Ovis aries: one gene and its partners. Each later gene encodes a partner of the first gene's protein in a complex. Links are inferred from orthologs where the notes say so. Each region holds a gene or a part of one and is shown in the gene's direction. Other genes may lie near its edges. The genes, in order: SMARCA2, ARID1A, SMARCB1, SMARCE1, SMARCD2, DPF1 and ARID1B.

Evidence for each region.
Region 2: SMARCA2 (region 1) and ARID1A share a complex: the UniProt entries of both Homo sapiens proteins name them as parts of the neuron-specific chromatin remodeling complex. The link is inferred for Ovis aries from reciprocal best matches to the Homo sapiens genes SMARCA2 and ARID1A.
Region 3: SMARCA2 (region 1) and SMARCB1 share a complex: the UniProt entries of both Homo sapiens proteins name them as parts of the BAF complex. The link is inferred for Ovis aries from reciprocal best matches to the Homo sapiens genes SMARCA2 and SMARCB1.
Region 4: SMARCA2 (region 1) and SMARCE1 share a complex: the UniProt entries of both Homo sapiens proteins name them as parts of the BAF complex. The link is inferred for Ovis aries from reciprocal best matches to the Homo sapiens genes SMARCA2 and SMARCE1.
Region 5: SMARCA2 (region 1) and SMARCD2 share a complex: the UniProt entries of both Homo sapiens proteins name them as parts of the BAF complex. The link is inferred for Ovis aries from reciprocal best matches to the Homo sapiens genes SMARCA2 and SMARCD2.
Region 6: SMARCA2 (region 1) and DPF1 share a complex: the UniProt entries of both Homo sapiens proteins name them as parts of the neuron-specific chromatin remodeling complex. The link is inferred for Ovis aries from reciprocal best matches to the Homo sapiens genes SMARCA2 and DPF1.
Region 7: SMARCA2 (region 1) and ARID1B share a complex: the UniProt entries of both Homo sapiens proteins name them as parts of the neuron-specific chromatin remodeling complex. The link is inferred for Ovis aries from reciprocal best matches to the Homo sapiens genes SMARCA2 and ARID1B.

The regions. Positions count from the first base shown.
Region 1 is NC_056055.1:70,296,004-70,299,503, forward strand, and holds part of SMARCA2 (probable global transcription activator SNF2L2), read left to right. Parts: intron 1-3,151; coding exon 3,152-3,500. UniProt on the Homo sapiens protein: ATPase involved in transcriptional activation and repression of select genes by chromatin remodeling (alteration of DNA-nucleosome topology).
Region 2 is NC_056055.1:240,201,273-240,205,295, reverse strand, and holds the start of ARID1A (AT-rich interactive domain-containing protein 1A), read left to right. Parts: upstream 1-1,223; 5' UTR 1,224-1,986; coding exon 1,987-3,132; intron 3,133-4,023. UniProt on the Homo sapiens protein: Involved in transcriptional activation and repression of select genes by chromatin remodeling (alteration of DNA-nucleosome topology).
Region 3 is NC_056070.1:71,287,378-71,291,568, forward strand, and holds the start of SMARCB1 (SWI/SNF-related matrix-associated actin-dependent regulator of chromatin subfamily B member 1), read left to right. Parts: upstream 1-1,391; 5' UTR 1,392-1,579; coding exon 1,580-1,672; intron 1,673-4,191.
Region 4 is NC_056064.1:40,602,566-40,606,795, reverse strand, and holds the start of SMARCE1 (SWI/SNF-related matrix-associated actin-dependent regulator of chromatin subfamily E member 1), read left to right. Parts: upstream 1-1,430; 5' UTR 1,431-1,475; intron 1,476-3,677; 5' UTR 3,678-3,722; coding exon 3,723-3,729; intron 3,730-3,905; coding exon 3,906-3,949; intron 3,950-4,230. UniProt on the Homo sapiens protein: Involved in transcriptional activation and repression of select genes by chromatin remodeling (alteration of DNA-nucleosome topology).
Region 5 is NC_056064.1:47,814,647-47,818,641, reverse strand, and holds the start of SMARCD2 (SWI/SNF-related matrix-associated actin-dependent regulator of chromatin subfamily D member 2), read left to right. Parts: upstream 1-1,195; 5' UTR 1,196-1,206; coding exon 1,207-1,422; exon of another isoform or gene 1,423-1,625; intron 1,626-3,995. UniProt on the Homo sapiens protein: Involved in transcriptional activation and repression of select genes by chromatin remodeling (alteration of DNA-nucleosome topology).
Region 6 is NC_056067.1:47,416,709-47,420,915, reverse strand, and holds the start of DPF1 (zinc finger protein neuro-d4), read left to right. Parts: upstream 1-1,407; 5' UTR 1,408-1,512; coding exon 1,513-1,544; intron 1,545-4,207. UniProt on the Homo sapiens protein: May have an important role in developing neurons by participating in regulation of cell survival, possibly as a neurospecific transcription factor. Belongs to the neuron-specific chromatin remodeling complex (nBAF complex).
Region 7 is NC_056061.1:81,522,612-81,526,111, forward strand, and holds part of ARID1B (AT-rich interactive domain-containing protein 1B), read left to right. Parts: intron 1-2,384; coding exon 2,385-2,712; intron 2,713-3,500. UniProt on the Homo sapiens protein: Involved in transcriptional activation and repression of select genes by chromatin remodeling (alteration of DNA-nucleosome topology).

The DNA.
Region 1 (3,500 bases):
CTAGTTTTTTTCTTACCACATTTGAGGGAAGATTTTGTTGTATTGATTAATTCTGGAAAATGATTTTTATTTCACTCTTAGTTTCTTTCTTAGCAACTTTGAGGTAAAACGAATTATTGTACTTAGTACAACTAAGTGTCTCATCCTTATAATTTTGCCATGCCAGGAGACATAGTTGAAAAGAGCGATTTGATGAAGTGTGTTACACAATTACATTTAGATTAGATTGTCTAATGTTTTGGTCAGTTGTATTAGGCATCGTGTGATTTATCACGGGTAAGCTATAATTGGTGACGACCTTAGGAAAGAGGACAGTCCAGAAGGCAGGAGACGTGACCCATTTTAACACCTGGTTGTATCCCTTCTCCCATGAAATGTCAGTAGCTATAGTAGGAAGTTTTTCCTCCAGTGATAGATGCAAAGTTGGCAGAAAGGTGTTAGGGAGGTACTTTCATAATGAACAAACTACCATTTTGCACCAGCATTACAATTTGGAGGTGAATTTTAACCTCGTTAAGAAGGAAAACCGTTAATGATGAAGTTAAGTATATGTTATTGATACTTAAAAATGTTTATTGTTATAAATAACATCCTGGGATTTGAATTTCTGCTCATCTTGCAGATGAGCGGGCTGATTGCAGGGGCATTTTCTTAGGCTAACTTCTGTGATCAACTAGAACCCTAATGCCTTCATGATTTTTGTGCTCGATTACAGAGTAGGGATTTCGGAAATGAGAGTGAGCAGCTTTTCCATTTCTCTTCAGGGCAGGATTACTCAGAATGGAGTTCTACATCTCACCAATTGATAGAACAAAACCTACTCTTGTCTTAGGGGATCAGGCTAAATTTGTTTCCCTCTCCAAATGGCAATTTGAGATAAAAGGAACTGTATCCTTTATTTTCTCTAGTCTTTCAAATGATGATGTTGAGTCCCCAGGCAGCGTGGGTCAGATATTCGTGAGCCTCTGTAATTCCACATAGACACAGAGTGCAGCTTCAGCTCAAACTTGATTAAGTGTTGAAACACACGGCAGATGCCTAATAAACACCTATGTGATGACCTTTAAAATAATTGTGATGCAGGTGGATTTATTAATGGCAAAGACCTTTAATTTAATGTTTTACATTGTGTCTTAGAATGCCTTTGAGTTGATGAGTTAGCCCTCAATTTGAATGGAAGACAATGTTTTGGGGTACAGCAAACCACTCTGTCCTCTCCTTCCTCTTGGATCTCCCTTCAGCAATGTGCAGTCCTATATTTTTCTAGGGATTCTTTGGCCAGACTCCACAGTTCATCTCTTGAAATAAGTTTCTTGAAAATTTTATTGCATTTTGACTTTTCTTTCTTAAGTATTCTTAAGTTTTCCATTTAAGTCTCTTTATCACCCAAACAGATTACTTTCATTTTTATATTACATTGTAAATGGTTCTGGGCTTCCCAGGTGGCCTTAGTGGTAAAGAACCCATCTGCCAGTGCAGAAGACGTAAGAGGCATAGATTTGATCCCTGGGTTGGGAAGATCCCCTGGAGGAGGACATGGCAACCCACTCCAGTATTCTTGCCTGGGGAATCCCATGGACAGAGGAGCCTGACGGGCTACAGTCCACAGGGTCACAAAGAGTTGGACACACCTGAGGAGACTTAGCTTGCAGCACATAAATGCTTCTAGAAGATTTTGGAAGCTTTCAAGCCTTTAACTTATTTTTATATTACTACAACAAAATTAATATTAGACCATGGAAAGAACATATGCCTTGGAATCAGGTGAATCTTGGTTACCAAGATCTAATTGTGTGACATGGTGTAATGTGCTTACTCTCATTTTAAAAAATGAGGCGACAGCACGTATCTTCTGGGAGTGTTGTGAGGACTATAGAAAAAAAAATGTATCCTCTAACTCTTCTTACCATTTCTGTGCTCCCATCATCCTTATATCTACTGGCCAGACCACCATCTTGATTTTGATTTACCGGCATCCACCTTACACACACAGACACACACACAGACACACACACACAGACACACAGACACACACACACACACACAGCATGAGATTAATCTTCAGGCATGCACTACAGCAACTGACTTAACCATACACTCCTTGTTGGCTTCCTTCCCTTATTTTACCTTTCCACACTCTTGTCAGTATCCCTGCACCTTTCAGATAAATCAGCTGCACTCAGTCTTTCCATCAGGCTCTGATTCCAGGGTAAACTTGGCTAAAATAGCATGTACAGTGCCTTGCTTAGTGCCTACAACCATGGAGGCCCTCAATAATGGCAAATTACTCATAAAGTGCATAATAATAAACCAAATAATATCCCCGTAAGAGAGTCCTCATTCTGCACTGCAGTACAGCAGAGAGCTTCAAGTTCTGGTCTCTAGGTTGGAGCTCCTTTTAATGTATAATACTGTCCCCTGTGCCCTTCCTCTAGGTGTACAACAGCCACTACTAGGTCGTGTCACCATCTAGGACACGTGAAAGTGAAAGTGAAAGTCGCTCAGTCGTGTCTGACTCTCTGCGACCCCATGGACTATACAGTCCATGAAATTCTTCAGGCCAGAATACTGGATTGGGTAGCCTTTCCGTTCCCCAGGGTATCTTCCCAACCCAGGTCTCCCGCATTGCAGGCGGATTCTTTACCAGCTGAGACACAAGGGAAGCCCAAGAATACTGGAGTGGGTAGCCTATCCCTTCTCTAGCAGATCTTCCTGACCTAGCAATTGAACCAGGGTCTCCTACTTTGCAGGCAGATTCTTTACCAGCTAAGCTATCAGGGAAGCCTCTAGGACACATCGGGCTATCCACTGCTTGAAATGTGACTAGTCCCATTGGAGATGTACAGTAACTTAATATGGAAACAAAAATGTAAAATCTCTAATAATTTTTATTCTTTGAAATGATAATATTAGGGGTATGTTGGTTTAAATTATATATTATTACAATTTTGTCTGTTTCTTTTAATTTTATATGTATATATATATTTGATATACATAAATTTTAAATTATATATAATCCCATTAAGTTACATGTGCTTTAAATTTCTCTCAGTCAATGCTGTTGTGGAAAATCGTCAGGATCTCCAGGAATGTTTCTCTTTCAGGGTCATGGGGGGCAGCCTGTGACCTCTCCCTTTGTGTTTTATTCCAGGTTACATGTCGCCGCACCCATCTCCGCTGGGAGCCCCAGAGCACGTGTCCAGCCCTATATCAGGAGGCGGCCCGACCCCACCACAGATGCCACCGAGCCAGCCAGGACCCCTCATCCCAGGCGACCCTCAGGCAATGAACCAGCCCAACAGGGGTCCCTCTCCTTTCAGTCCCGTCCAGCTGCATCAGCTCCGAGCCCAGATTTTAGCTTACAAGATGCTGGCCCGGGGCCAGCCCCTCCCTGAAACACTGCAGCTTGCAGTCCAGGGGAAAAGGACGTTGCCTGGCATGCAGCAACAGCCGCCGCCACAGCCCCAGCCCCAGCCTCAGCCGCAGCAGCCACAGCCGCA
Region 2 (4,023 bases), about 170 Mb from region 1:
GTCAGAGGACAAGGCTGCTGCTGAGATGTGGTGGAGCCTGTGAATCTAGAATTTTCTGTGTATACCTCCAGTTCACTCAGCATCTCCCATTCAGCATCTCTTAGAATGTAACAGTAAACTTTAATGATTCCTTACAATGAAGGATAGAAAAACAAATTTAGGCTGCATCTGTTTTCTGAGTGAGGTGTTAGACTGCACCTTTTCTCTCTTTTTAAGGAGAAAACGGTTCCCTCTACTTGGTCATCCCTCTTCGGCAGAGGTTCCTTTGAACACTCAGGTTCCACCAGTCCCTGGAGTCTCTTCTGTGGTCTGTTACAGTCTTACAGGTACTGTCTTTGGAGACGGGACCTTGGTCATTGTGGGCAAAGGTGGGGCTTGTGTCTTCCTCCAAGAAGGCGGTCATATGTCCCCAAAATATCTTCAGGGGTGACCATTTTATATCGGTTGAGATGACCAGCTTGAATCTCAAACCCATTCTGATGTTCTGATCCCACTGTTGTATATGGCACCACTTTTCTTTTTATTACTATTATTTCTAACGCTAAGTAGACAGGGGCAGCACTGGGGACTCTGCTACTTTTTAAAGTCACCCTCCACTGCCCTTGTCTTTGTAAGTGATAGACTAAGTGATAGGCCGGTCCCCTTCGCTATCTTATGAGTCTGTAAAATGGGGATCAGGAACTTCGTGCCCCCAGGGCCTGTGAGGACCGGCTAATGAGGGCAGAGAGTGGGAAAACGGAAAGTCTGAAACAATGATCTGTCATTCCATGCAGCTTGCAAAGAGGATACAACGTAAAGCTCAGCTGGGTCTTTGGAGCAGGTCTGCAAAAGGCTTTGAAGAAGGAAAAGTGCCGCGGAGATGCTAAGTAGCGGCCAAGAGACCAGGCCCGCTGCCAGGGGGGGTCAGGCCTGGGCCGAGGCGGCCGCGGTCTCGGGCTCAGGCCAATTTTGCAGCCGCGAGTAAAGTTCACGCTGCCCGCGGCGCGAAGGGGACCGACCTGGATAGGGAGGCCAGGAGGGAGGCGGCGCGCAGGCTCCGGAGAGGCGCGAGCTCCGGGCCGGGTTTTCCCCGAAGCCTTCGGCGGCGGCGCTGCCGAGCGAGAGCGGCAGAGCGCTTGCCGCCGCCGCCGCCGCCGCCGCGGCTGGTTCTCTCCCCTCCTCCTTTGTGAGGGGAAGGGAGCGAGTCCGTTCCACGGCCTGCGCCCCGCTCCGCGCTCCGTTCCGGGTTTGCCAGGCGGCCGCGACGGCGCTGGGTAAAATGGCAGTGCTGAGCCTCGTGTCGGAGTGAGGGGGACTCGGAGGAGAGTGGGGCGCTCTAGCCGCTCAGTCCGGCCGCCCGCCCGCTCGCCCGCTCGCCGCCGCGCAGCAGCCTCGGCCCGGCGCCGCGGCCGGGGAGGGGAGGCAGGGCGCCCGGCCCGGCCCACGCTCCGACTCTGCCTGCCGGCGCCCGGGCTGCTGCCGCGCGCCCTCCAGCCCGCCCGTCCCGGGTCCCCCTCCCCCCGCTCCCTCCCTCCCTCCCCGCCCCCTCCCCCTCGCCTCCCTCCCTCCCCTCCCTCCCTCCCTCCTTTCTCCGGCAGCAGAAAGCGGAGAGTCACAGCGGGGCCAGGCCCTGGGGAGCGGAGCCTCCACCGCCCCCCTCATTCCCAGGCAAGGGCTTGGGGGGGAATGAGCCGGGAGAGCCGGGTCCCGAGCTTACAGAGCCGGGAGCAGCTGAGCCGCCGGCGCCTCGGCCGCCGCCGCCGCCTCCTCCTCCTCCGCCGCCGCCGCCAGCCCGGAGCCTGAGCCGGCGGGGCGGGGGGGAGAGGAGCGAGCGAGCGAGCGAGCGAGCGAGCGCAGCGCAAAAGCCGCGGAGCCCCGCGAGGCCCGCCCGGGCGGGTGGGGAGGGAAGCCCGGGGGGACTCGGCCCCGGGGCGGGGTGGGGTGGGAGGGGGGTGAGAGAAGACGAAGACAGGGCCGGGTCTCTCCGCGGACGAGACAGCGGGGATCATGGCCGCGCAGGTCGCCCCCGCCGCCGCCAGCAGCCTGGGCAATCCGCCGCCGCCGCCCTCGGAGCTGAAGAAAGCGGAGCAGCAGCAGCAGCAGCAGCGGGAGGAGGCGGGGGGCGAGGCGGCGGCGGCGGTCGCGGCGGAGCGCGGGGAAATGAAGGCAGCCGCCGGGCAGGAAAGCGAGGGCCCCGCCGTGGGGCCGCCGCAGCCACTGGGAAAGGAGCTGCAGGACGGGGCCGAGAGCAATGGGGGTGGCGGCGGCGGCGGAGCCGGCGGGCCCGGCGCGGAGCCGGACCTGAAGAACTCGAACGGGAACGCGGGCCCTAGGCCCGCCCTGAACAATAACCTCACGGAGCCGCCCGGCGGCGGTGGCGGCGGCAGCAGCGACGGGGTGGGGGCGCCTCCTCACTCAGCCGCGGCCGCCTTGCCGCCCCCAGCCTACGGCTTCGGGCAACCCTACGGCCGGAGCCCGTCTGCCGTCGCCGCCGCCGCGGCCGCCGTCTTCCACCAACAACATGGCGGACAACAAAGCCCTGGCCTGGCAGCGCTGCAGAGCGGCGGCGGCGGCGGGGGCCTGGAGCCCTACGCGGGGCCCCAGCAGAACTCGCACGACCACGGCTTCCCCAACCACCAGTACAACTCCTACTACCCCAACCGCAGCGCCTACCCCCCGCCCCCCCAGGCCTACGCGCTGAGCTCCCCGAGAGGTGGCACTCCGGGCTCCGGCGCGGCGGCGGCGGCGGCCGCCGGCTCCAAGCCGCCTCCCTCCTCCAGCGCCTCCGCCTCCTCGTCGTCTTCGTCCTTCGCTCAGCAGCGCTTCGGGGCCATGGGGGGAGGCGGCCCCTCAGCGGCCGCAGGGGGAACCCCCCAGCCCACCGCCACCCCCACCCTCAACCAACTGCTCACGTCGCCCAGCTCGGCCCGGGGCTACCAGGGCTACCCCGGGGGCGACTACGGCGGCGGGCCCCAGGACGGGGGCGCCGGCAAGGGCCCGGCGGACATGGCCTCTCAGTGCTGGGGGGCTGCTGCTGCTGCGGCGGCGGCGGCCGCGGCCGCCTCGGGAGGGGCCCAACAAAGGAGCCACCACGCGCCCATGAGCCCTGGGAGCAGCGGCGGCGGGGGGCAGCCGCTCGCCCGGACCCCGCAGGTAACACGGCTGGTGGGGTAGGGGGGGCTGTGGCGAGTGGGGCGGGGGGGTCCTGGGAGTGGATGGCGGCGGCGGGGAGCGGGCCACGGCCGTGGGCTACCCCCAGTCTGGGGCCCCCACTGCTGGGGAGCTGCCATTGTCTCGCTCTTTCTCTCTTAAAATGGCTGCCCGTCTGCCTTCCTCTCTTTCCCTCCTTCAGCCTTTGTGTGGGGCTTTCCTTGAGGTGTCTGCTCCCCTCCTCCTCCTCCCCGGGTCCCTTCCAGCTCCGGGGGGTCTTCAGAGGGGTGCGGAGCCGGGTGTGCGGGAAAAGGGCCCGGCCCGGGGTGAGGGGGTGTTGGGGGCTCAGGTTAGGGGTGTAGGCAGCCCTCGGAGGTCGGGAGTTGAGTGAACAGTTCTTTGCTCACCTGCCGCTCCTCTCTGCCCTCCCTACCTTCCTCTAGGCCGGTCCCCATCTGTGCTTTCAAGGAGGGGGCCCCTCGGGCTCGGGGGGACCTCGAGGGAGGGCAGGGGCCTGCTTGGGAGCAGCTAGAGCCCGGCTTCGGTTCACCCTGGGCAGCCCAGGTCGTCTCCTGTCTTAGTCTCCGTCGGCCCAGTGGCCTGGGCTTCTCCCTGGAAGTGCTGGTAAACAGCTGAGTGATTGGAGTAGTAAGTGCAGATTGCTTTGGTTTGGGATTTGAATTATGGAGGTAAAATCCTTCTGTCAAAGCCAGGAGACAGTTGGTCTTAGGTTGACATCCTATCTGTGATCTGATTGGCTCCCCATCTCCTGCTCTTGGCCATTTATAATTGCCTCTGATGTAATGGTACAACAATCCTGATGAGCTCATAAACTTTTACACTCTGCTTTTCTGCCAGTGATAACCCAAACCATCGCTGCCACTATCTGCCTTT
Region 3 (4,191 bases), on another chromosome or scaffold:
GGGGCCCCCCTGCTCCATCTCGTCCTGCTTGAAGGCCTACAGTGGCTTCAGTCTGCTCCCCATTTCCCCAGCGGCCTCTCAGACCATCGTCCACCAAGCGCTGCTCACATTTTCCGATCCTGCCACTGTCAGGACACAGAACCGAACTCAAGGTTACCGTGGCCGACTCCTCACTCTCTGGGGTCTACTTGCCTGCCACCCTCAGAGAGCCCAGGATCCGCCTGCAATGCAGGAGTGAGTGAAGCCACTCAGTCGTGTCCGACTCTTTGCGACTCCACAGACTGTAGCCTACCAGGCTCCTCTGTCCATGGGGTTTTTCAGGCAAGAGTACTAGAGAAGGTTGCCATTTCCTTCTCCAGGGGATCTTCCCAACCCAGGTCTCCTGCAGAGCAGGCAGACTCTTTACTGTCTGAGCCACCAGGCAATGCAGGAGACCTAGGTTCAGTCTCTGGGTGGGGAAGACCCCCTGGAGAAGGGAATGACAATCCGCTCTAGTATTCTTGCTTGGGGAATCCCATGGCTACAGCCCATAGGGTGCAAAAAGACATGACGGAGCAAGTCACACACACACAAACACACACACACACACACCCTACACACACACACGCCCCTACACACACACACGCCCCTATACACACACACACACGCACCCTACACACACAGACGCTACACACACACACACCCCCCTACGTGGATGCTCATAGCGGCGCCTCTCATAGCTGCCAGGTATCAGGTGCTGACATGGGCAGCCATCAGCAGTGGGCCGTTTCTGACCTACTGCCGTGCTCCACCGGATACACGGGTGCCTCCCTGTGTGTCGGCCCGCTGGGCTGCCAGCGCCCCAGGGCAGGGGGAGGCACAGGGCACAGAGTTAAGGAGAGGACGGGGACGTTCGCTCCTCCCCAGCTCTCAGCGGGCAAAACAGACGCCGGCTGGGCCTAGGAATCCTGCAAGCCCGGTAGTCTCAGCCCATGCCCGCCCCATCCCCAGAGCCACAGGAACGGGGGCCGGGGGGCTGGCCCGGAGCTGGGATACTGGTCCCTGGGCCGCCCATGTGCTCAGCCGCACAGCGTCCTCTGGGCGGGGAAACTGAGGCAAGGGAGCCTCTGGCTTCCTCCCGGCCTTCCGGGCCTCGCCTCGTGCCTCCTCACCAGGGCAGCACGCCAGCCCCGGCTGTGAGACGGGGAAGGGCGCCGCTCGAGTCAGGGCGGCGGCTGCTATTTCTGCCCGTGAGCGGCCTTCCCTGGTACCTCCACTTGGGAGGCGGCCGGGAAGGCCGAGAAACGGGCCGAGGCTCCTTTAAGCGGCCCGCGGGGGCGCGCTCGGCCCTTTTGTCAGGGCGGCGACGGCGGCGGCGACGCGCGCGTCAGCGTCAACGCCCGCGCCTGCGCACTGAGGGCGGCCTGCTCGTCTTCTGCGGCGGCGGCGGCAGAGAAGCCCAGCGGCGGCGCGAGCGCCCCCGGCCCGGCCCGCCCTTCACCTCCCGCGTCGGCTTCCCCGGGCTAGGAGCGCCCCCGGCCCCGCCTCGGCCCTCCCGATCCTCGCAGCCCGGCCGTGGCCGCCCGCGTCTGCCGCCGCAATGATGATGATGGCGCTGAGCAAGACCTTCGGGCAGAAGCCCGTCAAGTTCCAGCTGGAAGACGACGGCGAGTTCTACATGATCGGCTCTGAGGTAGCCGATCCTTGCCCTCCGGGCCTCCCGGTCGGCCCGGTTCCCGCGGGAGCCTCGGGGCGGGTCTGCGCGCCGGGAACGCGCGTCTCCATTCATCGCGGAGGGCCTGCGTGCGCGTGCGCGGCCTGGCGCATCGGGGCGTGGCCTGTTGGGGCGTGGCTGAGCAGCCCCGCCCCCGCCGTCTGGGCACGCCCACCCGTGTCCCGCAGGGACGCGGTGGGCGGATCGGGTCGAGAGCGTGGTCTATCGGGGCGTGGTCGAGCAGGCCCCGCCCCGCGCTCCGCAGTCTGGGAACGCTCACGCGTGTCCCTGGCCGCGGGGGTCGCGGTGGCCCCGGGTCCGCGCTGAGTTCCACAACTCCAGCCGGACGTACAGAAACGGGGTGTTGGGTTATCCCTTGCTGCACACGGGGCGAGGAGTTGGACCCCTCGCACGCTCCCTCCTCTCCCTCGTTGCCCCAGCTGGAATCCTGAAACCGCTGATTCGAAACACCGAGCTTAGTCGGGGGCTCACCCGCTTGGTGCTCTTTGACTTGGAGTTGGGCGGGTGGGCGTTCTGATCTTCCATTATCAGTGAGAAGACAGGTTGGGAGAACGATGCTTGATTTTGGATGGCTAGGGCCCAGCCAGCCCTGAGCTAGATCCATCAGCAAATGGGAGGCACCTGGCACTTCGGCTATCTTGGACTAACTCTGAGTTAGTGCGAGGGAACGAGCGCGGAACCCCTTCATCCTTACCTAAACAGTGACCTTGCAGCACTGTGAGCCGGCTGGGTTAGCAGTGTGCACCAAGTATACGAAGTTCTTCCAGTGTCCCTCAGCCTTTGGCAGTCTCCGGCGTGTGCGTGTGTGTCCACACACACATTTTAAAATTACGGATCCGCAGTTCAGGTGTGCAAGCGCCGAGCAGCAGTGCCTCCCTTTTGTAGAGAGGCGAGTGCGGGTCTTGGGGAGTTACAGCAGTCACAAACGCCGCCGACGCTTGCTTCTCCTGGCAGCAGTTTTCAGTTTTACGCATTTCACTCTTTTGTTCTTTTTTACCATTTTTTTTCCCTCTTCATGATGGAATACGCTGTGAATGAATTAAGCCTCATGATGGTCACACTCAGTGAGGCTTTCGGGAGTCCCTGTGACTCCCTGTGGCTTGTCTGACTTGTATTGAGTTAGGAGACCCATGTTGTCAGTAGCATCAGAACTTTCTGTGTTTCCTTTCCTCACCGGTTTTTATGAAACACGGGGCCGGATGCAACGTACTTTCACATTATCACAGAAACGCTCCTCTTGACAGCTGGCCGTACTGGAGAGAGGCGCCACTGCCTGCCACGTGCCGCAGCTCAGAAGGGTCTTCGCCAGCCTGTGGGCACGGATGCGGCATGTGGTGACTGGCAGGTTAACTAAAGAAACCTTCACCGGATCTAACGGGCAGGAAGGAAAAGCGCTTGGTTTAGCACTGGCTCTGAGTCGGTGGTACTTTTGAAAATCAAGCTTGTGTTTACTGGGTGGAGCCCGGTGTCAGGTGGGCAGAGCGTGAGGAGCTCTGGCTCCAGCCTGGTGTCCATGGCACTTGTCTCGGGCATCTGATGAGATGCTTAGGCTAGACAGCTTCTGCAACTTGCCCTGCAGCACATCTCAGACTGAGAAAGACAACTGCAGTCTTGGTGAGTGAGAAGATTTGTCCTGAGATGCAGTTTATGGAGACCAGACGGCAGGAGGGAGAGGCAGTTGCCGTCCGGGGCCTGACTTTACAATGTTCAGACCTCAGGAGGCCTGGGCAGGGTTCAGGGCTAGACTGGCATCTACTCACAGCCAGCAGCTCTTCTGACAGCAGGGGTGCTTGGCCCCCGGGCGGTTTCCCTGGGCAAACAGCAGGCGCTGGTTTCCAAGAGGCACGCCAGGCAGAGCAGTGCCTACAGCGCCCCACACCACTCGGGGTAGCAGCCTTGGGAGGGTGTCTGCAGCTGCCCCAGTCCTGCCCCCCCCAGGGGCAGCTGTCATCACCACACAGAGGCACAGCCGAGGGGAGCCCAGGGGGCCTCCATACCAACACCTTCGTTTTCCATTTGGGAAACCCAGGTCCAGAGGGGGCAAAAGCTTGTGCAGGGAAAACCCAGGGGGCAGACTGAGTCCCCTGAGTTCTGAAGGGACCTCGGGAAGGGCCTAGGAGGCTGGGAAGCCTGCAGGACCTGCACGGTGGTACTGGGGGCATTAGGGTCAGTGTCTTGTCAAAAACCTCCTAGAAACTCTATGTTTACCCCCAGATGGTAACCACGCTCAAGCCAGGTAACTCGAAAGGGCCTGCCCCTGCAGCAAGGAGCAGGAGGGACGTTGTGGCCGCTCTCTCACGCTGTTCAGCAGCCGTGGTTGTGTAAATCTCTAAACTCATGAAAAATGGAGAAACTAAAAAAGAAAAATACTATAGTGGGGTAGGTACATGGGAAAATAGCACAAGTGGGTCCTTCGAGGGTGAACTTTACAGCTGATGAACATCTGTCAAGAGGAGTAGGGAGGCTGAGAAGAGGGC
Region 4 (4,230 bases), on another chromosome or scaffold:
TCTAATCATGAACATGAAAATATTGGAGGTGGAAGAACTGGACAGAGGGTCACTTGTCCCTGGCTTTGCATACTTCTGGAGATACCCTAGTCCCTGCTGGCACACCCAGGATGGTGGCTAAGGGTAGCTGAAGAATCAAGTCATTCTAAACGTCAACACCATTCTCAAGTGATTTCAGATCCTTCCCCTCTCTGCAGTGGCGCACGTCGGTCAAGTGTTTATGTATCCAAGGAGAGGCTGCTATCTAGTACATCAACGTGGTCATGATTTAGTGAAAAGAGTCCTGGACTAGACCATAGCCTGCCTCAATATAGATTTACTGAGCTTCTTACAATGGTTCAAGGCCTTACTGGGCACTGGCTATAGGAAGATGACCAATGCAGACCGCTGAATTTTTGCTTTCAAGGCTCTCATAGAGTACTGAGAATAACAAACACAGTCTGATACAATGTATTAGGTAAAGGCCATAATTGTTAATTTGGGAGGAGGAGGGGCGCGTGAGGCAGGGAGTTCCCGGAGGGCATCAGGGACAGAATTTGAGCTGGATCCGGAAGGACAGATGAGTTTAAACCCAAAAGTGAAGGACTGTCGTTCCTGGCAGAGGAAACCGAATGAGCCAAGGCGCTTTAGGACACAGACCCCTTGCCCAGCGCTGCAGGGACACACAACCGGGGGCAAGGAGATTTACATCTCCGGGCCTTGGCTCAGAAACCTGTGACAATTACACCAGCCTTGCGCTTGGGAACAGCTGGGAAGATCTGCGCTGCTTTCGCCAAAGCTCTTGCCCGCGGTTAAGGCAGGAAGCCCTGGGAGGCGCGCAGGAGGACGGAAACTGTAAACCCGGCTCTCCACGCCTCCATCCTCGGCTTGGTGAAGTATATACACTCCAGCTCCCAGAGAAAGAGTCAAGAAAAAGACCGGAAGGGAAAAAAAACCCAGAAACTCTCGGGGGCAGGGACGGGGGGCGTGCGCGGCCTGAGCCCGGCCGGGGTGGTGCGCGGGCCGCGCGGCCACAGAGGTTCCGGGGCTGGCGACCGGGCGCGCTCCCCGCCGCCTTCCGGCCCCGCGCGGGGAAGCTGAGGCCGCGCTCGCGCCCCCCCTCGGCTCAGCCTCGCGCCTCCCGCCGCGCCTCCCGTCCCCGCTCCGGCTCGCTGGGGGCCGCGCGGCCGGGCCTACCCGCGGCCGGGCCACCTCCTCCCTCTCCGGAGTGACGAATCGGCGCCCGGCTGGCAAAGTACTGACTTTCGGGGAGTTTTGAGGAGCGTATGGAGCCTGAAAAAAATCCTTGACTGTGCTAAACACCACCGCGTCCCCACGAGAACGCTTATTTTCCTGAAGAGAGTCGGGTGGGGCCTGGAAAGGAATTAAGAAGAGTGTTGAAAGTGCGAGCGCGGAAGCTCGGGACGCGAGGGGCGGGGCGTGCGCGGGACAAAGGGAAGCGAGGCCGGAGCTGCGGGCGCTTCTTCTGCCCGCGGGTGAGTGTTTCCGACTGGGCCCGGCTGGGTCGGGAGGGTGGAGAGGCGTGGGGTCCCGGCTTGGCTGGGGTTGCTGAGGGTTGCTGGGGTTCAGGCTTGGCCGCGGGACCAGGGCCGGGGGCCGGCTGCGGCCTCTTTGAGGCCTAGCGGAGCGAGGGTGGGGAGAGAGTCCCATCTGGGGCTCCTCTTGGGCGGCCAGAAGTGCCCCTTCCACTAACCCCACGGAAGTGGTCAAGGCGCTTCTGCATGCTCCTCTTCAGTAGAGTAGCTGGTAAAGTGCACCTACACATCAAACCAAACCGAATCGGTCTCAGAGGAAGCCCTTGGGGCAAGCTAAGCCCGTGGTCCTCACCCCCAGGAAGATGGTTTCCCCTTGCCCAGGCAGCGATCTGAGGACTCACGGTGTGGCTTGGAGTGAAAAGCGAAAGCTGGGCAACAGTTTGGCCTGGGTTTGAAACCCAGCTCTGACACTTCCTGACTCTGTGTCTTGAGCCAAGTTACTTATACTGAACGAGACTCCTTTTTTCCCTCTGTAAAATGGCAATAGCAGTACACACCTCGTTGGTAGTGTGACTGTTAAACCAGATGGTGTGAAAGTAGTAAGCCTGTCCCGTATAAGGTATTCAACAAATAACTTCTCCAGGATTTTATGCCAGGCACCGGAGATGCATACAGTGGTGGACAATTGTACGAGATCACTCTTGAAATTTATGGTATAGCAAAAGAGACCAGTAATTTTAGAGTGTTAATAAAATGTGACACACCTGGGAGCTTGTGGCAGATATTATCAGGGCCCCCCACAGCAAGGCCTACTGGATGTTGACAGCCCACCCAAGCTTGAGCAGGAAGGAAATCTGCATTAGACTCTGGTGTCCTGCATGTACCTTAAGGAGAGAGGGAGACCCAGGTTGGGCCATTGAGAAAATAAATGATTTCTTTCTTTCCACACCAGGCCTCTTACTCATAATGCTCCAGAAATGCCCTTAAAATACAAAACAGGAGCAAAAAAAAAATCATGTTTGTTTCTCATAATGTCGGATGAAAATACTCTAGTAGTCATAGAAGTTATTTGCCTTTTTTGTGAAAATGAATGTTCATCTCTTTGTACACATGGTGTGTAATGTATAGTGAGGTAAGGAACAAGTTCACGTGTGTGTGGTCATGTCCTGAGCTAGTGTTACTAGGACTGAAGTTGGTAAAAATTGAGCTAGGTACTGGGACAGCAATAATGAACTAGCTGGTCCCTGTCTCCATTCAGCCCCCATATTAGCAGGTGTAATATGATATTGATCTGTGTAAATTGGAGTACAAATGAGGAAACATTTAATTTTGTACAGATAGGTCCAGAAGTCTCCATTGAGGAGATATATTTTGAGTTGAGCTAAGAAAGATCAATAAGAGTTTTTTCCAGTAGACTCTCGAAATTTATTCCCAGCGGTTATGAAGCTGTTTACCATCATGTTGTTTTTTAGTGGCTCAGTTGTGTCTGACTCTTGCGACCCCATGGACTATAGGGTACCAGGCTCCTCTCTCCATGGGATTCCCCAAGGGAGAATACTGGAGTGGGTTCCCATTTCCTTCTCCAGGAGATCTTCCCAACCCCGGGATTGAACTCAAGTCTTCTGCGTTGGCAGGCGGGTTCTTTTACCGCTGAGCCACCAGGGAAGCTCCATTACTCCTATAAGAGAATGTGAAGTTTCTTGTCACACCAGTTACCTTTTCCACTGCCTTCAGGAGTAAAATGCTGTTTTACTAGAAAGAAGTTGTTATCCTAAAAGGAAGGCAGAGCTGTGGCTGGTCATGGAGCTGTCAGTGTCTGGTAGGCCTTGTTGAGGTAGGCCCCAATAATACATCATATTCTTTTGTCATTGTATTTTTACCGATTTGATTAAATGTTTACATGGCATCAGCGAAACGTTTTCCATACAAGAGGTGGCTCAGTATCAAAAAAAAACAAAAACTTGCAAGTACATGTCTAATTTTACTTTTTAATATCCCCTGTCATTTGTTTTAGTCATTTAATTCTGATCAACTGAGTGACCTAAAGAACTAGTAAAATATTTAAAAGGCTTGATTACTAGAAGATAATGTAATTTTACAAAGAAATATCAAACTACCCTATTCTTTAGAAAAACATTCTCTTATGCTTGCTGAGTTTTGATTATCTTTATTTTTCTTTTTTTTTCCTTTTTTTTATTTTAGTGTCTCAGATTCATTCTTAAGGAACTGAGAACTTAATCTTCCAAAATGTCAAGTAAGTTTCATTTTTTATATTTATCAATCTATATTAATAAGAGACTAATGCCCTAGCAAATGGGAATTCCAAAATACTCTCATTTTTTTTTCTTCAAAACAGGACCATTGGTAGTTTTGTTGCATAGTATTATATCTCAGTTGTTTACAAGAAGTTATTTATTTTCTTTCAAACAGAAAGACCATCTTATGCCCCACCTCCCACCCCAGCTCCTGCAACAGTAAGTTTTAATTTTCTTGTTAATGTAATAGCCAAGTCTGGCCTTGATACAAAAACCCAGATGTCTTCCAGTGACAGTCACTCAATCATTACAGCAACAGGATGAAAAATTCAGCTAAAAAACAGCACTTCCTACTAAATAAAATAACTCTGCATCTTACCTTGAACCAACCCCAACATTTAAAGAAACATACTACTGAAATGCCAACCTCCTATGCTCAGTTCTTTTTTTAATTAGAAATAAGTGGCAAGTTTAACACTTTTCTTGTTCATCTCTATTAA
Region 5 (3,995 bases), on another chromosome or scaffold:
TCGGTACTCCAAAGTGTACTGAGTAGCAACAGCATTGCTTGAGAGCTTGTTAGGAATGCAGAATCTTGATCCCTAGCCTAGAACCCAAGCTTACAGAATCATAGTCTGCATTTTAAACAAAAGCCCAGCAGTTTCTTATGCTCCTTAGAGTTTGAGGAGCACTGGTCTGAATCATGGAGAGAAAGTCACAGAACACCTGGCAAGGCTGAAGCACTTTTGAGTACCTCTGACTTAGGGCTGATTTCTGAAAAGTTATTGAACTTTTGAAAGTCGCTATAAATCTTGGAGACAGACCTTATTTAACTCTAGGAGCCTTCTCGGAATGCAAAATTCCTTTGCCTAGGAACATCTCCTGTAGAGTAAAGTTATTACTAGGTTTCCTTAATGGGAGGCAGAGGCACATTCAAAATAGGCGATAAGAGCTCGGCGCTTGGCCAATTCAATCCTTCACACAGTGGATCGGGTCCGGAGCAGCCAAGTCCGCTGGCAGCTCTGGCTTTTAAAGTCAAGTTGGCAGCTGCCCTGCCGCAGAGAGCAGCTCGTTGTCTTTAATTCTAAAAACGTAGAAACGAGGACAAAACTATTTTCAGGGAGCGTGACCCGGTACCTCGGGGATTCGGCTGCACCTAGGAGAAATCAGCAACTACTCTTACACCGTACTCTTACCTCCTGACCTTCGACCTCTGACCCCCCCTACCGCATTTCCGTGTGCAGCTTCCGCTCCCGCCCCTCCGGTGGAGGGCCGACCCAAGGGATGTGGGCGGGGCTTCGGGGCTCGGCGGTTAGGGGCGGTGCCTGTTGGGGGCGGGTCTCGCGAGGGGCGGGATTTGAGGAGACATCCTCGCATTGGGCGACTAGGTATAGGCGGGGCTTGGTGCTGGGCTGGGTTAGGCGGGGCAGGGAGTTAGTTACCGCCTCTGGGTAACTGGACGCTGGCGGCCAAACCTCCGGAGGCCCGGGGAGGCAGCGGGCCCGTAGCAGATCCCGGATCCGGAATTTTCCGGGCAGGACCGGAATCAAGATCGGCCCTGCCCCAAAGTGGGTTTCTGAAGAACTCGCGAACTTGGATTAGGAAAGCCCGGAATCCGGATCAACAAAACCCAGAACCCGGAATTTAGATCGGAAAGTCCCGGAGCACGGAGTGCGGAGCGAACTCAGCGCGGAGCCCGGAGTCCGGACCGAGACACCGCCGGACGGGACGGAGCGATGTCGGGCCGTGGCGCGGGCGGGTTCCCGCTGCCCCCGTTGAGCCCTGGCGGCGGCGCGGTTGCTGCGGCCCTGGGAGCGCCGCCTCCGCCAGCGGGACCCGGCATGCTGCCCGGACCGGCGCTTAGGGGGCCTGGGCCGGCTGGAGGCGTGGGGGGCCCCGGGGCCGCTGCCTTCCGCCCCATGGGCCCCGCGGGCCCGGCGGCGCAGTACCAGGTGAGGAGGGCGGATGGGCGGGCGGCGCCTCGAGCACTCCCGGGGCTGGGGGCCTCTAGTGAGGGCCCTGGGGCAGCCTCCTGAATAGGGGGTACAGAAGCTCTGCATGCGGATTTCACGGGGCACGGTGGGGGGCACGGTGGGGGGCAAGGGCAGGGACCCTCGGGCTCGGCCAGGTGGTGGTGGAGGATTTGAGGGAGAAGGTAAGAGCGACTCGGGTGGAGGGTTTGAACCATTTGGGAGCGTCTGGGGGTCTTCCTTGGAACGGGGATTCTGAATAACTGAGAGATGGAGGCGTAGTCGAAGCTAGTGAGTTGTGGACGGGTGGAATGAGAAATCTAGTATAGATTCTCGGGTAAAGGGTCCTGGGAAGTGATGAGAAAGTTTTGGGAAAGAGCCCTCATTGAGAAAGCAGGGTTACCCTGCATTGGTCTTGGTCATACTCCAAGTCTGCTCTGGGTTTTTTTTTCTCCCCCTAGTTGGGAACTGGCAGAGTTTTAGCGTGTCTGAGATGGCTCCCAGCTGCTAAGGAGGAGGAAGAAGGGCCTGGCTTCCCAGGGGCACAGAAGGCAGAGGATGGGGATTGCAGCCCGTGCAAGGGGAATCTACTACTGGGCCAAGCCCTGGCACCTTCACACAGGGATGCCTCTGGGTTAGATCAGAGAGGGTGGTGGACAGGCCTGAGGAAGGAGGAAAGCCTAGCCCATTCTGGACAGACTTTCTGGCTTTCTGCCTGGTGTCATAGTGTCCAGGAGTTGATTAGTCTGGAGGAACAGAGAGGCACCACTGAGTACTGCTGGTCTGGGGCTGGAGGAGCCTGCAGAGAGTTGCCTCAAAGGGTTCTGTCTGACCCCTTCTGGGTCTGGCTTTGCAGAGGACTTCTCGGGTTGCAGCTTCAAAGGCCATGGAGAAACTGTGGGGTCAGTGTGTGAGGAACTCAGCCTCACACTGGGGGTGGGGCTTACCAGTCCCCAAGTTCATTGTTTCTCCCCAGAATGCTTGGGAATTGCCCTCATCCTTTTTGCTGCCCTCCTCTCCACTTTTAATTAGCCTTTAGGTTCTAAACAACAACATATTCCAATCTGTGTGCCCCAGCACTTGACACGGAAGTCTTGCTAATCTCTCAGGGCAGCTGGGAGATTCTCATGTCTCCCTTCCCTCTTGCACCCAGGTAAAGGTCCCCTAAGTGGTTCCTCATAGAGTAGGAGCCCTGGGTCCCCACTTTGTGAAGAGATGCTTCACTGGGACAGTGATTTTTCCTTCTTGCACCTCATGTTCCCTCTTCTCTCTGAACCAAGGATCTGGCTATTGACAGAGACAGACCTGGTCCCCAAGACTCCAGCTGGTTTTCATCTTTCCCATCTTGCTCTCACTCCAGGGGATTCATGGGCCCAGGGTGTCACTGAGGGATCCCTGGGTCTGTCATTCCAGCTCTTAGGTGAGTTAGCTGAGGAGCCTCCCTGGGGGCCGTTGGCCCCGGGGAAGGCTCCAAGGACTAGATAGGAGCCTCTCTAATTTCCTAAGCCTGGGGAAAGCCCTGAGAGGACGGATTCCAGAGTGATTTGGAGGGAGTGGCCTTGGACCGGTGGCAAGGCTGAGCTAACTGGCTGGGTACCCCAGGCTTCCAGGAGAGGGGACCTTGAGGAAGGCACGGAGCCTCTGCCTCTCTGGGCTTCCCCTGCAGCTTCTCATGGCCTCCTCCTCCTCCAGGGAAGGGGCATGTGTGTACGTGTAGGGGGAGGGAGGGCCCAGTTCATGTCTGCTGACTTCAAGGAGGATCCTATGTGGCCTCTTTCCAAGTCCAGTTATGTGACTTCTGGGAGAAGGGACTTGAGATCTGAGGAGCAGGGGGTGTGTCTCTGCTGGGGCATGTGAGGTGAGCTGCAGGAGTGAGGCTCTCAAGCCCACGTTGGGCAAATAGGGGAGCTTACTGGTGGCAGGGAAGTGATGACCCCACCTCTTTACAGAGTGTTTCAAGCTGTGGGTCACGGTCTACTAATGAGCTTAAAGAAAACATAATATTAAAATAAAAAACAAACACTACACCGCCCCCCCCCCCCCACCCCGCCCCACAAAGAACAGAGATTGCTGGGTTCACGCCAGAGAGTTGAAAATATTTTGTATGTCTGCAGAGGTAGGTTCTCTTCTTCTTGGTCCTTAGGCCCAGCCTTCAGAGGCACCAGGGGCCAGACTGGCCTCCCACCCCTGCTGTCCTGGGTGGTGGATCCAGAGTCCGGTTGAGGACATGGACTGTGCTGGGCTAAGGGAGAGGAGGTTACTGCTCACATCTGAGGCTCAGGGCGTGGAGCCAGGCCTCCCTATCCCTGCTGCAGGAAAGGGGTCAGGGAGCCTAAGAGATCAGGGCTCTGTTCTTTTTTAATTTTTTTTTAAGTCTTGGGTTGTTTTTTAGAAGAGGAGGAATTACTGGTGCTTCAGAGCCCAGGTGTGGAGCTTGGCCAGGCTGAGCTGGGACTGCAGGAACTGTAAGCCGCCTTTCCAGGGGCCCCTTCCCACCTTGGGAGAAGTCTGGGGCCCTGGGCGAGCTGGGGGGCCTCGCAGGCTTCCTCCAGGCC
Region 6 (4,207 bases), on another chromosome or scaffold:
CTTTTCTAATAAGTCAGCAAAGCTAGTCAAGGAAAAGAAGGGAGATGAGATCAGAAATGTAGTGGGGAGATTTCCCTGGTGGTCCAGATTGTAAGACTCTGTGCTCCTAATGTAAGGGGGCCAGGCTCCATCCTGGCTGGGAAGTAGATCCAGCACGCACACTGCAACTAAGAGTTTGCATGCCACACAACGAAGATCCTGGCAGCTGCAACTAAGACCCAGCACAGCCTAAATAAACCGAGGAAATGAGATGGAGGTTGGGGATCTGCTTAAGTAGGGCCCTGAGAGCATAGTGAGGACTTAGAACTTCATTCCAAGTGTGAAAGAAGTCATTGGAAGTTTTGAGCCAGACAGCGTGGTGATGCCAGCTGTTTTACGCAGTTCACTCTGGCTACCCTGGAGAGAATAGTCAGGGACTGTCCAGGGGGAAGATGATGGGAGGAGGGAGTCCTAGGACGGAGGCTGTGAAGGGAGAAGGGTGAGTAGATTCTGGATCTATTTGTGAATGTAGAGATAACAGGATTTGATAATGGACTTGAGGTGTGTGTGAAAAAAGAAGAGTCAAGGATGATTGATTGCACTTGGAACAAAAATCCATTTTCTTTATAATGGCCTACAAGGCCCTACATAATCTGGTTCCTTGCTCTCTGGCTAACCTTGTCTCCCTCCTCACTCACTCGACTCTTTTACACTAGCTTTCCACAATAATCTTTGAACTTGTCAAGCTTTTCCTGCTTCTGTGTATTGCATGGTGACAGCTTCTCAGGTTTCAGCTCAAATGTCACCTCCTCAGAGAAGCCACTTTCTTTATAGCACTTTCCACTCTCTAAAATTAACAGCTTGTTTGCTTGTTTATCATCTGTTTTTCCCCACTCACAGCTCACCTCCTTGAGGGCAGCAATTCTATCTGTTGTTCATGTTGTTTCCCCAGTGCCTAGAAGAGTGCCTGTCACTTAATAAATGAACAAAGGCATGGATTAACCCCTGTGCTTGTTTACAGACTGGCTTACAAAAGAAGAGACACCAGAGAAGTAGGCAAAGACAAGAATATACGACAGACTCTGGGATCATCCACACACCCAGGGGAGATCCAGAAATCAGCGGCCACCCATTCCCGCGCGCCCGTGGTTCTTGAAGGATGGAGAGCCAGAGCTGGGAAGGGAGCACTCCAGGGAAGGGAAAGGATGCTCTGGGGCGAGTCCAGTCCCGCCCTGTATCCTCAGTAGCCAATGGGCACACGGTTTTCCCGACGCCCCCTGGGACGTGTAGTCCGGACAGGGGCGCCCTCGGGCGCCGCCGAGCGCCCCTAGACTCCACGTCCCGTCGTGCGCCGGGAGGTGCGGGGATTGGCCGAGCCCCGCCCCCGGCCCGCCCCGCTTCGCTCGCGCTGCAGCCCCAAGAATGAATGAAATCGTAGCGCGCTGGGCGGCAGAGCGGGCGGCGCAGGCCGGGCTGGGCCCGCGCGCAGCGGCAGCGGCGCCCCGGGCCGGAGGCGGCCCAGCCGAGCGGGCCATGGCCACCGCCATTCAGAACCCGCTCAAGTCGTGAGTGTCCCCGCCGTCCACGTCCCTCCATCCGCCCCCAACCCGAACCCTGCCCCCGCCCTCGCTGGGGAGGGGGACGCAGTGGGCGGATGGTAGTTGAATGGGCCCCCCAGCTTGTCCCCCTGTCCCCCCGGGGCGTGCCGCCACCCCCTGTCTCCCTCCTGGGGCTGGGGGCAGGAGCCACTCCAGGGTCGCGGGGGCGCCTCTTTGTCGCTGTCAGTGAAGGAATGTGGCGCGGGCTGGGGGTGGCGGAGGCCGTTTCCCCACCCAGAGTGGGGGTAGGGGCTTCCTTCTCCTCCTCCGAGTCTCTCGGGGCGCCGGGTCTGCCCCTGCCTGGGGCTGGGAGTATGAATGCCTAAGTCCGGACCCTAGTCTCCCAGGTCTCTACCTCCTCAAAAGCATCTTTCTCTCTTTCCCCTCTCTTTCTCCCGGAACCTCGGTCTGCGCGGCCGCAGGGTGGGAGCTGAGACGTCGGGGTCCCCGATTCGATCCCTGCTGTCTCCCCCCTTTTTTTTCCTTCCCGGGTCTTCAGGACCTAAAGCCCCGACGCTCCGGTCAGTTTAGACCGTGGGCTCTCTGCCTCTCCCTGCCCGTACACATGTAATGAGAGCATCTCCTGTCTCCTTGGGGACCGGATGCCTCGGGAGAGGGTGCTGGGAGCGCCCTCAGTCTCCGGGGATTCCCTCCGTTTCTCCCTGTCCGCGTGCCTCCTCCGAGCTTCGCTTCCTCCCGGACCCCGCGGCTGGCATCCTGGACGCCTGGGTTCAAACCTACGCTGTCTCCCAGCCGTCTCCTCTCCTGGCCAGCCCTCGCTCTCTCCACTTCTTCCCTCTCTTTCCGTCTCTCTCGCTCCTTCCTCGGGATCCCGAACTCCTGGGTCCCAGTGCTCCCCGCCCCCTTCCCCAACGGTGACAGCGGGCTGGGAGTGACAGGCGCGCGGCCGCTCCGGCTCTCCCTCCCCGGCTGGCGCGCGCGGCCCTCCCCTCCCCCGCTCCCCGGCCTGGCGGGGAGGAGGCGGAGGGCGAACGCCCGCGGCGCCGCACAAAGGGGCCGGGGCGACCTCCCCCACCCTCCCCCCAGCCCCTCGCCTCCGCCACCTTGACCTTGAGCTACGGGTGCTGGGGGTTGGGGTGGGGGAGGGGCTCGGGGCGCCCCCCGCTCCCGCCCTCCGGAAAGGCTGTGCCTAGGGTGGCCGGACCTAAGGCCCCCAGTAGCTTCGGGTTTCTGATGGTGGGGGGAGTTGGGCCATGGAGGGGGCCGGGCCTTACAAGCTCGCGCCTACACGTGTGGCTTTGCGGAGAGCCAAGCCGGCTTGGAGGGCGTGTGTGGGGTTGGGGTAGGCGTGAGACAGTGTGTAACGGTGACACTTCTGCCTCCCTCTCGCTCTAATTCTTCAACACAGACGTGTTACCCCTATCAGGGACACCCTCAAACTGGCTGGCACTGGGCTCGTGTGCAGGTTGGTGGATCTATAGGTATCCAGACCTCCTCACTTTGACCTCTTGGAGTAGGTGTGGGGCAGCCATTGCGGGGGCCTGAAGACCTGAGTAAGCTTGGGGGTGGGAGTGCCAGTAGCCCTTTCTGCACTCACCTTCTGAGGGATCTACAGGAGGTGATGGGAGGGAAGGGGTTGGCTCCTGAGAGAATCCAGTCCCCTTAGGAATGGGCTCTGGAGGGTTCTGACTGCCTGTATTGGAACCTCCCCACCTTGAGCCTCAGCGTTACCATCTGTGAACTGGGGCATCATTACAGTTCTTATTATCTCATGGTTGCTGCTGTGATGTTTGTAAAGCACTTGGTACTGAGCCTGACTCTGACTAAATGTAGTGAGAGTGTCAGTTGTGTCTTGACTCTTTGCGACCCCATGGACTGGAGCCCGTAAGGCTCCTCTGTCCATGGAATTCTTCTGGCAAAGATACTGGAGTGGGTTGTCATTTCCTTCTCCAGGGGATCCTCTCGACCCAGGGATCAAACCCGGGTCTCTTGCATTGGAGGCAGATTCTTTACTGTCTAGTATCAATGTTGATTTCACTTGTGGTCCAGTTTCCACACAGGGCATGGGTGGATGGGGACAGGACTGTTTGGACATGGGAGTTTGACTGCGGCTGAGGGATCTGAGAGGGTGACTAGGGGTAAGGAAGGGGAGAGAGACCCTTCTCTAGGTGTCAGCTGTGGGTCAAATTGCACTGGTGGACAAGGGCCTCCAGGGAGCTGATGGAGTGTTCTATACTCAGGCTCCAAGCTGAGCAAAACTGATGCCAAGGTTCTGGGGGTGAGCCAGGTACCTGAGGCTAGAGGTGTGGGGGAGCAAGTGTAAGGATGTATTGGAGGCTGGTGGGAGGTGACAGAGGAAGGTGGCAAGGGCTCTTGGAGCTGAGCTGGTGGGTTGGGGGGGGGCAGGGCTCACTGTGGATGAGATTGGGGTAGCCACTGTAGGGGACCTGGAGGCCAGAGTGACTGTGAGGTGCCAGTGTCCCTGTGGCACTGTGTGATCTGTGACGCAGAGTGAAGTGCCTCACCCCCTTGCCATCTGCTCTAGGCCAGATGTGAAGCAGAGACCCACTCCCTGCTTTGGGGGTTTGAGGAGAGGGAGATCAAGGCCTTACCTGAGAGAGATGGGGGAGAGCCTGTGGAAGGCGTCTAAGACTAGAGGTGTGTGTGTG
Region 7 (3,500 bases), on another chromosome or scaffold:
GAATTGCTGGCTTTTATTGTTGTTGCTGATCTATCCCAGTTTCTGCTGGAAAAACCTGAAGAAGCTCCTCCTCACCTTCAGAATACGCTCCAGCCTGGGAATCCTGCTGAGCGGGGCCCTCTTCCCTCTGCGCCCTTCTCACAGCTGCGCCAGCTCAGCAGTGTCTTGCTCTCAAGTTTGCTCTCGCTGTCAGTGCTGCTGTTCACTGCCTCACCCACGGGGGCTCTCTATCCTCTTCTGCATTACTCTCATCCCACCAGTAACCCCCGACCATTTCTGCACCCTTATTTGAGACACTTTAATGGCAACCCACTTCAGTGTTCTTGCCTGGAGAATCTCAGGGATGGGGGAGCCTGGTGGGCTGCCATCTATGGGGTCGCACAGAGTTGGACACGACTGAAGTGACTTAGCAGCAGCACACATATTACATCATTTAATCCTAACAGCAACTCTTCAAGTAGACCAAAATAAAGAGGATCCTCTTTTTTAAAGGAAAGAATGAAACCAAGAAAAATTAAAACAACTTACCTAAGGTCACATGGTTGGTATATTCACAGAGTTTTCACTCAGCCCCAGTTCTCCCAGATCCCAGAGCCTGCCCCACAATGATTCCTGGGTCAAGACCCAACATGGTTTTTCAAAGACCTTCACTCAGTGCCGCCCCGCTCCACAGATGACCCCCTGTATCCCTCCCCTACAAGGACTTACTCTTCTTTCTCTTACACTTTCTACAGTGCATTATCTTTTCTGTTTTTGCTTTTGTATTTTTTCTTGTCTTTCCCCTGATACTTCACCTTGTACACACACACATACACACACATACTCTCACACTCTTACGCTGTGAACTTCTTGAGTATAGGGATTGCATTGTATTTAACCTTACATCCCTTGTGCCTAGAACAGTTACGTTATGTAGATAAGATTCTTCCAGGAAGTGATAAGGACAGATGGAGAAACACTAATCCATAGTCTCCAAACACTTCTCCTTTTACATATATTTCATTTCCACAGTCACTTATTAGGAGGCATCATATTTTATTGGTTAATTATATTGGTTCCATAATCATTTGGCTTGAGCTTGAATCGTAACCTACTAGTTCTTGATTTTCTTCTTTTGTCAATGCAGTCATGGTCGTGTCATTATTTCGCATAATTATTGGAGGAATGAATGAAATCATAGATGCAAAACACTTAACCTGATATCTCACACATAGTGCGTGTGGTTCAGCAGTTATTGTTATCAAAGTGGCATTATACATGCCTTCAATTTACTTGACTGTAATTTATGTACCCTCAACCAAAATAAAAGGTGTGGAAGGAGAGAGAAAACAAAACTATTGAACTAGTCCAGGCCATCTACTCCAGGAGCATGTACCCCATGTGAGCAGGGATGGGGGTGTGAGATTGCAGACGCTCATCTCAGTCTCAGACCCTGCCTACTTCCTGTAGTGCTACCATCCTGCTTTGCTGAGTGCCATGCTTATGCTTAAAATTTACTTAAAAGACATGGTGCCGGGTACAACCCAGCCACTTTATTTGGTGCTCAAGCCAAGAAAAAAAAAAAAAATGTCTCTAGACACCAGAGAAAAGCCGACTGGGTTGGACTCATTGCAGGTTTCTGCATGGCCCCTCCTGTGGGGTCTTAAAGGGTAATTTTGACCACACGTGCATGTTTCCTTGCACCTTCGGAACACTTTATTGTCATGTAGTAGAGAAGGCGATGGCACCCCACTCCAGTACTCTTGCCTGGAAAATCCCATGGGCAGAGGAACCTGGTGGGCTGCAGCCCATGGGGTTGCGAAGAGTCGGACACGACTGAGCAACTTCACTTTCACTTTTCACTTAACTGCATTGGAGAAGGAAATGACAACCCACTCCAGTGTTCTCGCCTGGAGAATCCCAGGGATGGGGGAGCCTGGTGGGCTGCCATCTGTGGGGTCGCACAGAGTCAGACACGACTGAAGCGACTTAGCAGCAGCAGCAGCAGCAGTAATGTACTGGTGCAGTCTCAGATTGGAGTACATCTAGGGACTGGGGGCTAAAATAATTATTTTGCTTGAATTTTGGTAAGAACTGAGGTGTTGAATGAGCTGAAGCACCACTCAGCACTCCATCTGTATCCATGCAGAGATGGTTTCAGAGGTCAGCCTGGGTTTCTCTCCATGTTTCAGTGTCCTGTGTGGCTCTTTGCCTTTGGAATGTACAGAGATCATGTGTTTTGAGACAGCCAGCCTCGTCAACACCAATGGGGAAGGGTTAATGAGGATAATGACTAATATTCTGTGTTGATCACATTGTTGGACCAAAAGTACTTCCAGTGAATGTTTTCACAAGTTCAGATATTAAGAACAAGGCTCTCTAATTTGTGTTTGATTTTTGTTTAGGTAACTACTCCAGACCCCCAACATACAGTGGGGTACCCAGTGCAAGCTACAGCGGCCCAGGGCCCAGCATGGGCGTCAATGCCAACAGCCAGATGCATGGACAAGGGCCAAGCCAGCCATGTGGCACCATACCCCTGGGACGAGTGCCATCCACAGGCATGCAGAACAGACCATTTCCTGGAAACATGAGCAGCATGACCCCCAGTTCTCCTGGCATGTCTCAGCAAGGGGGGCCAGGAATGGGGCCACCAATGCCAACCGTGAACCGTAAGGCACAGGAGGCAGCTGCCGCAGTGATGCAGGCCGCTGCGAACTCGGCGCAAAGCAGGTATGCCATCGGGCGGGCGGTCTGTGCGGACATGTGCACACACGCGGAGCCAGAATCAGTCACCCCGTCAGTGGGGGTGGAGAGCAGCAGAGGGCCACTGTGCTTGGCCTTCCCTTTTAAGTTACATGTTCTCTATCAGAGAGGCCAGAACAGTAAATGATAGACTGTGTTCTATGAGACATGGAGGAAGGAATCAGTCAGTTATAGGAGGTTATTTGAAATGGCTGAGAAGAGTCACCGCACCTAGCCACCCAAAGCCAGTGGTGAAGGGCGCCTCTGTGGCTCCATTTAACACAGCGAGGCCTAGGCAGGAGACTATAAAGCCTAGAAACTGGCCCAAATCTAAACATTCAAAAAGAACGCCTCCTTTTTTTGTTTTTAACCTCACTGTAGAAATCCTTATGAAATAGGAACTTTGTATGTGCACATATGTGTATTGTGTGTGTTTGTCTAAATGTATACGTGTGAGGTTTATTGCTTCATGTTCTTATGTTGTACTTTTATTTTTCTGGGCATATGTCTCTCTCTGTCCAAACCAAAAGGCAGTTAGCAAAACAACGATTGTATTTCTGAACATTTAAGTTGATAGAGCAAGGCTTTAGCCTCAATTATTTACTTGTTTTTAATCCTGAAAAAAGTCTTGAAGTAAATACTCGACCTGTTTTAAAATAATTGAATTAAAAGTTCATGAGGCAAAGTGACTATGTTTTAAAAGACTCAAATGAAAAAAATGTTTGAATTTTGTTTAACATATGTTAAGATGTTTAAAACAAAGGACACTGAAAGAT